Caenorhabditis elegans: one gene and its partner. The protein of the gene in region 1 interacts with the protein of each later gene in a biochemical or structural test. Each region holds a gene or a part of one and is shown in the gene's direction. Other genes may lie near its edges. The genes, in order: flp-26 and npr-6.

Region 1 (3,003 bases):
TCTTGCAGTTAGGTAATGTTGGTAATTGTGTAGTATAATCTGGCCCGAGCATATTCACCATTTTGAATTTTTAGTGTTCCTTTACAAATTAAGTTTAGGATTGGTGTTTTTCTAACCCTAAATATGCAAATAAATTTCACGTTTTCATTAAAGGTTTGATAACGTATTGGAAGTATTGGAAGTATTTGGAAGTATTAGGTATACTTCACTAATACTCTAATGTTATATTAATCTTGTAAAGGCTGAACATGCTAGCTCTGACCTTCCAGTGCATGTCATTGATTGTGATAGTGTACTTCAATATTCAATTTTCAATCACGTAATCAAATAGACGGCTATAACCAGATGATAATACAGACCCTATTTCACTTCCAAATAGAATAGACTATTGTGACCAATCTACATTTCTCCCAGTATTGGAAGTATTTGGAAGTATTAGGTATACTTCACTAATACTCTAATGTTATATTAATCTTGTAAAGGCTGAACTTGCTAGCTCTGACCTTCCAGTGCATGTCATTGATTGTGATAGTGTACTTCAATATTCGACTAAAAATGACATGAGTCGATAACTCAATTTTCAATCACGTAATCAAATAGACGGCTATAACCAGATGATAATACAGACCCTATTTCACTTCCAAATAGAATAGACTATTGTGACCAATCTACATTCTCCCACTATTTTTTGATGATTTCAATACCTAAATTAATACTTCTAAGCAACGAGACACATCATACTTGTAATGATTCATCAATCGTATGAATCATAGTCAAGCTTCAAGATTTTTTTTGTTTTAATTAAGAAAAGTTGGCGGCCTTTGCGAAACCATATATGAGCATTCAATCAATTTGTCAGGATTCAAGAAGCTCACTATTGTGAGAAACTGCGCAGTTTGGATTTCACCATTTCCATCATGAACATAAAATTTTATGACCCGTACGTCATTTTTGAGCCCTGGAACGCATCACCTTTTGTTCGCCGGGTTTTATGGCCCAACGTGAGCTTCTGTTATTTCCGGGTAACAGAATGCCGAAAAAGGATCCGAAAGGAGGAGCACGGTGGGGTTTGTCATGATCGGTTGGTATGCTCCACCTACTTTTTCCATTTATATTTCGTATAGAAACTGCTAATTTCCCCGTCATCCCCCCCCCCCCCCCCACTTGCTCCTCCTTCCACACTTTAGTCTCTTCATACGATCATCATTGAAATTCTTCACGAGAAACAATTGTAGGAATGAACTCCTCGTCATTTCTATTTTATATTTTCCCTCTTTGCCCTGAAAACAAACCAAATCAGTTAATAGCAATCTCACTGGTATTAGTTGTTGTTTTTTTTCCAGTGAACTCCTAATTCCTAAAACACAGACTTACTCACTTTTTCTCACAATTTTCTTTCTATCCTAAAAAAACGAAAGTGTAAAATGCGACGACTTCTTTATTTTGTTTCCGAGCTGCGCTGAGCTCTCGGCAGACATCACATTGCCTCCTATGTTTTAATTAATTTCTCTATGAAAGTATGAAGACAAAAGAGAAGTATCTAATTGGGATATCTTCAGATCCTTGAAACTATACTTTTGCCCATTTTTATCCTTTTTAAGAGCAAGGAAGTAATCATGAGAAATATACTAGATCGCCTATGTAAATAGGAACGAAATTTGACATGTTGAAACTTCCTCGTTGGTTCCTACTATGTATATTTTGGGAAGCCACATAATAGAAAAACTAGGAACCATTTCAAGTTTCCCTAATCCCCCCGTTTTTATCTTCCAAATTTAAAACAAATTGAGTCTAACTATATTTTAATATATTTTTGAAGGTAACCCGTCAAGAACACTTACAGTTTTCACAATGAAGGTGATGTTCATGCTTGCTCTCCTTTTCAGCTCTCTCGTTGCAACCAGTGCCTTCCGACTTCCATTCCAGGTATCATAGCCCTTCCAAAACTGAACATGTTATAAAAAACGCAACCTATCAACAAAAAATCATGCGTCATGTAGTTTTTACAGTTTTTCGGAGCTAATGAAGACTTCAACAGTGGATTGACAAAACGCAACTACTACGAGTCGAAGCCCTACAAAAGAGAGTTTAACGCCGACGATTTAACCCTTCGTTTCGGAAAGCGCGGAGGAGCTGGTGAACCGTTGGCTTTTTCGCCGGATATGCTTTCACTCCGCTTTGGAAAGTAGTTATTGACAAAAACTTATCAGTGACGAAAAAACAATGATATGATCTCTTTGTATACCACTCTCTCGTTTTCTTTTCTCTTGGTTGGACGACGCTTAGTTACGATGCCTAATAAAGTTTTTTTTGTTAATGCAATATCAGGAGATTGAAAAAAATGAAAAGCCATTTCTTTTCAAACAACCAAACTACCATTGAAAATGTCTTTCAAACCCTGATTCAAAAATGTCATTCCAATAACTGATTCAAACATAAATTTTGAAACAACGGCCAAAATAGTTTTTTTTCATTCGAATTTTTATGTAAAAAATTAATAGTAGATTTTCCTTCTGAAATTTGAACAGACTGAATAAAACAATCTAGCTGAAATTGATGTTTATTTCAATTATTTTCCGAAGAATGCGAAATTGTTTCATCAGAAAAGCTAGATTTTCCATTATTCAAAAACAATTTTTTGATGCGAATTTTTATGCAAAAAGTTAAAAATTGATTTTTTCTCCGGAAATTTGAACATAAGTTTCTATTAAAACACTGGTTCCTATTTGGTTGTATGTAAGTATTATTATATTATGCATCATTTTAGTATTCGAGTCAACTTCCCCCTTTCCCCAGAAGTCTCACAAAAATGCACTGATAAAAAGTCACACTACATGGGTTGAACAGTGTGATTGATTACAAGCTTTGGAACATAAGTTTAAATTACTTGTTTTATTTGGAAATGTAAGTTTCTTATTCAACACTCACTTCATTGAGTCAGTCTCAAAAATATGTATACCACATCTGAAGAAAAAACAAATAAAAAGGAGGAAAGTGAGAGAA
Region 2 (5,332 bases), 3.3 Mb from region 1:
AATTAGAAGAAAAACGTCTGAGTTTTTTGTTCTCGGTCAACTGATTTTTTCTCCAAACCGTGCTCACTTATCTATTTTGATAAATGTGACGTTTCATTAAAATTTTCGTTGTGTCATCAAGTATACTCCTTGAGCTAAAATTTATATTAATTTTCGATTTATTCTGATTTCTGTTTTCAAAAATGTTTTCCTACGCTCATTATCCAATTTCTATCCTTTGCCTTACAATTTTGAGCTGTATTTGGTTGTCTCAGTTTCACCAAAGCTTATCCGCCCTCTCAGAATTGTTTACTTTAGTTCATGTGCAACGTTTCTCCTTTTCCACCTCAAGGAGTGCTTCAGTTTTTCTCGACTTTTTTCTGGTGCCCCTCATCGCCCGGTCGAAATTCAATTTCCGCGGTATTGGAGTCGGATTTCCAGACGAAAAATAGAGAATAGACGGATGAACCCTATACATAGACAGGGCAAGGGCAAAGACGAAACTATCAAAAGGAAATGTTCTAAAAAAGGTCACCTACTATGCGAGTCCTTTTTTTTGCAACAATGAGAGCTTTATCAATCAAGATAATAACATTATCCTTGGTTCGTAGTAGCCTACATCTCATGAATGTTTCACATCCCACCATTTAGAGAGATTAAATCCATTGGCTCCTTACATTATCTTTTTTCTATTTCTTCTCCACGTCCATATTTCATTTCTGATTTTCAATTGAAACCAAATAATTTGAATCTAGCTTGTTGAACTTACGTAAGCGTCTTCTTCTTCGAATTTCGACCCTTTCTTTCTGTTTTTTATAGGAAATTCAAAATTCGCTTCATCGAAGATGAATTCATAACATAAATCAAAGGACTCTCGATTCGCTTTGTGCGTTTGCGTACCAGTTTTTAGGCAAATTTTAAATAAATGAGTATGTAGTTTGTTTAACGTAAAGGGAAAAAAGAAGGGTCTCAGCTTATTTCGAAAAAGAGAAAATTTCTCACATGTATATGGATTCTTTCCCTTTTAAAAGTTCACGACGCCTCCTCTTTTCTCACTTTGAGATTCACTTTTCGCGTCTAGAATTGCAAGTCTCACACAGAAAGTGAGAAAATAAGAAAATGAGGGAAGTGTTTGGCTCATGTTCTCTTTTTTATTTGATTGACAAGAAGAATTGAAAACAAACAATTTTTAAAAAATCATTGAAAACTTTGGGTTCTATTGAATCTGTTTAATAGTGTATTATTAATATTGTAATTTTTATTGATTTTTTTTTTCAAAAATCATGACATCAGTTTTGTATTATATGAACTATGTAGATTTCTAGTTTAGATGTGGTCGCTCTTCTAGTGTCAATTGCAAAGATGCGAATATCATTAAATTTTCATAACTGACTTAACATATTCTCAATTTTATATTCTTTTGGGAGCTTTAAATTTGAAAATACTTCTAACATCTTTTGCTCTATGAAACGTGTCAAATCTCGTTTTTTCTCCTTAAAATCAAGTTCATTTCCGACTCTTCCACCGCGCCCACGTCAGAATATTATGAACTTAAAGAGGTCTAAACGAGACACATCGCAACCAAACATATCCAGTTCACAATTCTTAAAATGTACTCGATTTATCTCCCGATTCTAATATTTTCAGCTCTTCGTTTATCCCAATTTCTGATAATATTTGATTCAGATGTCGAATGATCTCGTGCCTTCAGTGTCTTCTATACTAAATGAAACAACACCTTCATATCAAAGTACATGTAAAATCAAAAACGTAAGTTTTCGTGTCCAAAATTGTTCGTGAACGTTTGAAAAAAAATCAAAAATGTTCATTGAAACTATTTGATTATGAATTATTTTAACTGAAGCCGAGTAATTTTTATTTTAAAAAAACACGTTTCAGAACCCCATGGAAATGGAATATTTCCGCCCATTCTTTATTTCTATGTATTGTGCTGTTTTTTTGGTTGCTAGTTCCGGTAATTTTTTGGTAAGTAATATCATTTTCGATTTCTCCAGTTTTCCAACAACTGTGTTTAAGGTGGTGTACGTTGTGATGACGAACAAGCGAATGCAGACGATCACCAACATTTTTATTACAAATCTCGCAGTTTCTGATATAATGGTTAACTTTACGTGGGTTTTTTTTGAAATCGGAAGTGATATATCCGGTTCTTATATTCAGATCGTTGTGGCTTACACCAACATACACCTCAATAGGACATTGGATATTCGGAGGTGGATTGTGTCATGGTTTACCCCTGTTCCAAGGTATTGGTTTACATATAGACGGGAAGTTAAGCAGTGATCAAGCATCTAACTATACAGGTACAAGTATCTTCATCAGTACGTGGACACTTACGGCTATAGCCATAGATCGATACATAGTGATCGTGCACAACTCATCAAATATCAATATAAATGATAGAATGTCCATGAGAGTAAGTTGAGCAGGAACAATGTATCAATAAAAAACCTAACTCCAAAAAACCAAAACTCTCATTTCTTAGTCTATAGAAAGGTGTTTTTGAAGTACAGTTAACAAAGTAACCTCCATGAAAATAATAGTTTTTCCTGTTTTCGGTGTAGAACAACTTTGTAATTGGAAAAAATTCTAATTTTTAAAATTTTTTTGAAACTTTCGTACATACCAAATTCAGTCTTGCCTTTCGTTCATTGTCCTCATTTGGCTATGCTCATTGCTTCTGGTCACTCCGTATGCCATCAACATGAAGCTCAACTACATTCATGAACCATGTGATTTTCTGATATGTAGTGAGGACTGGAGCAATGCCGAATTTCGATCTATTTTTGGAATTGTGGTGATGATTCTTCAAGTGAGTTGGGGACAATGAAATTATTTGTATAAATTACCGGGGGATTATATATACATATATCTATGCCTATGCACAAATCAATTTTCAGTTCATTTTGCCATTTGTACTCATTGCCATTAGTTACATAAAAATATGGTTGTTCCTAAATAGCCGTCAAAGTATGACCGAGAGAAAATCCGATATCAAGCGCAAAAAGCGTTTACTACGGATGTTGATTGTCATGGTGGTCATCTTCGCAATTTGCTGGTTCCCATTCAACCTCTTGTTAGTTTAGAAGTGAATAATATGTCATATATTTGAAATAAATTCAGAAACTGTCTCCGAGATCTCAAGTTGGATAATTTCATGCGTGGCTACTTCAGTTTTGTTTTCCTTTCCGTGCATTTGATGAGTATGACAGCTACCGCCTGGAATCCAATCCTCTACGCATTCATGAATGAGACCTTCCGGTGGGTTTATGGGATTTGCATTTCGCCGCCGTCTGGTCGAAAACCCGTTTTAAACAATACAGACAACAATTGATAATCATTAGTGACTCAACGATTTATTGGAAAATAAATTGCAGTTAAAAGATTACGAGGGGTTGTTTTCTTCTCGTTCAGGTTGAAAATACAAGTTATAAAATTTGATACGTAAACATGTGCTAGAAAATACAATTGATAAAAAGTCAAGAAGTTTTATCTTAGACTGCATTTGTGTGTTCAGTTCTCATTTATTTTATTAAAAATTTATTTTTTATAAATACTCAATAAAATTTCCTCTCGTGACACTGTTTCTTCTTATAATTAGAAACAGATTAAACTAAAAAAAAAGACACTTTTTGGTAAATTTAGGATTATTTAAAAAATTTGCACAGTTCAAAATTCAATTAAATTCAATTAAATTAAATTCAATAAATTGAATTATTTAATTTTCATTTTCTTGCAATGCTCATTTTCAGTGAGGAGTTCGCAAAAGTTGTTCCCTGCTTGTTTGCGCGTCGTCCTGGAACTGGTCCAATTCGCGTCATCACTGGTAAAACCTGATAAATTTGAAGTTATTTTTGCTTAGCTTTTTTTTTAGAACGCACCGCTATGATAACTAACCCGTTTCGACGTGCAAACCGAAAAAAAAAAGTGGAGGAACAGCCTGTTACGGTGATTTCTGGTGAGTTTTACTTTTATGTTGTTTGATCCTTAGTTATTCTTCGTTAAGAACTTTTACACCCGACATCCAACGAAGAATAGGAAGCCATTCATTCCCTGCATGCACTCGTTGTCAGTGAACTTTTCAACAAACCAGCAATCTTTAGAAACAGATTCAGAGAGTCCACTTCAAACTGCAGTGGAGCCGCAGCGCAGTATCGTGTATCTCGATGAGCCTGAGAACGGATCAAGTTGTCAGACGCTTCTGCTTTAAGCCGCTCAATACAAAACCGGAAAGTCAGAACAAAAGTCGCTTTTAGTCATGTCACTTGCCAGTACATTTATCCGCTTTCCACTTGCCTTCATATGTAATTTTCATAAAAACACTTATTCAACATTTTATTTTTTTGGTCATATTGTTTTTCTTTCCTAAGATTTTTTCAGCTAAATCTCTGATCAAACCTGTCCTGATCTAAACTATGTGGTTATACTTAACTTATGCACTGCTGTATTTGCACAAATCTTGCTTGATGCTGATTTATCTTTTGTTTCTTCTTCTTGTCACATTTTGATAAAATATTTGTAAATGAAATTTCATATTGGTTACAAAAAATTGGTTCAACTGGTGTGGTTGATAAGATCAGATATGGTTCAAGTAAGAAGGGTATAACAGAATCATGACGAAATTTCAGAATGACATATTTAAAAACATGCTGGAACGGGAAATTGGTAGATGTGGATAAGTAAAATAAATCGAATTGGAAAATTGGTGAAATGTCTTTTCCTGGTTATGGTCATTTAAATTGAATTTGAATTGACTTGATAATAATATTATAAATATGGGAAATTAGGAATTATTTTGTTTTTTTTTTCAGAGGAAAATTGTAATAAAATCTAAAAAGTTTGGGTAAATTTTTAATATCTTTCGATAACAGCTTCACTGCGGTATTCCGAATATGTCTTCGGACGGGCGGCATAGATGGTTTCATCAACATGATCACCATTCATATAGGTTTTGTCAAAATTTTTCTCAATTGCCGGCGCATCCTGAATGAAAATTTGTTTCACATTGCATTTCAAAAATGGGAGTGAGAACGCTACCTGTGGATTGTATTGAGAGAGACATTTAGATCCAACAAGATTGAGAAGAATATCAAAAATAGGAGCTGTGATTAGAACAGATAAAATGGCAGCTTTTAAGATGAGTGCTGCATCCTTGGCCATGTCTGGGAATGGTGTAGCCATCAAAAGTAGAGTTGGAGCAAGGTCGGCCTAAATTAGCAAATTTTCAGCTAAAGTTCCACTGTGTTTAACATTTTGAAATTTTATGTGTTTCATACTAATAGAGTGAAAAAAACATGATACCAAAAAAAACTGTGCACAAACCTGGAAAGTG

What was found.
Region 2: the proteins of flp-26 (region 1) and npr-6 interact in a test that uses a peptide from one of them, tested with the Caenorhabditis elegans proteins (one large-scale study listed by BioGRID).

The regions. Positions count from the first base shown.
Region 1 is NC_003284.9:7,027,324-7,030,326, forward strand, and holds flp-26 (GGAGEPLAFSPDMLSLRF-amide), read left to right. Parts: upstream 1-1,812; 5' UTR 1,813-1,851; coding exon 1,852-1,926; intron 1,927-2,009; coding exon 2,010-2,189; 3' UTR 2,190-2,317; downstream 2,318-3,003. UniProt on the Caenorhabditis elegans protein: FMRFamides and FMRFamide-like peptides are neuropeptides.
Region 2 is NC_003284.9:10,282,029-10,287,360, reverse strand, and holds npr-6 (G-protein coupled receptors family 1 profile domain-containing protein), read left to right. Parts: upstream 1-1,626; 5' UTR 1,627-1,665; coding exon 1,666-1,749; intron 1,750-1,878; coding exon 1,879-1,965; intron 1,966-2,016; coding exon 2,017-2,111; intron 2,112-2,160; coding exon 2,161-2,246; intron 2,247-2,303; coding exon 2,304-2,416; intron 2,417-2,635; coding exon 2,636-2,812; intron 2,813-2,900; coding exon 2,901-3,076; intron 3,077-3,123; coding exon 3,124-3,261; intron 3,262-3,752; coding exon 3,753-3,826; intron 3,827-3,874; coding exon 3,875-3,958; intron 3,959-4,115; coding exon 4,116-4,210; 3' UTR 4,211-4,542; downstream 4,543-5,332. Other genes in the region: slc-9B.1 (Cation/H+ exchanger transmembrane domain-containing protein), read right to left, coding at 4,852-4,983, 5,038-5,208, 5,323-5,332.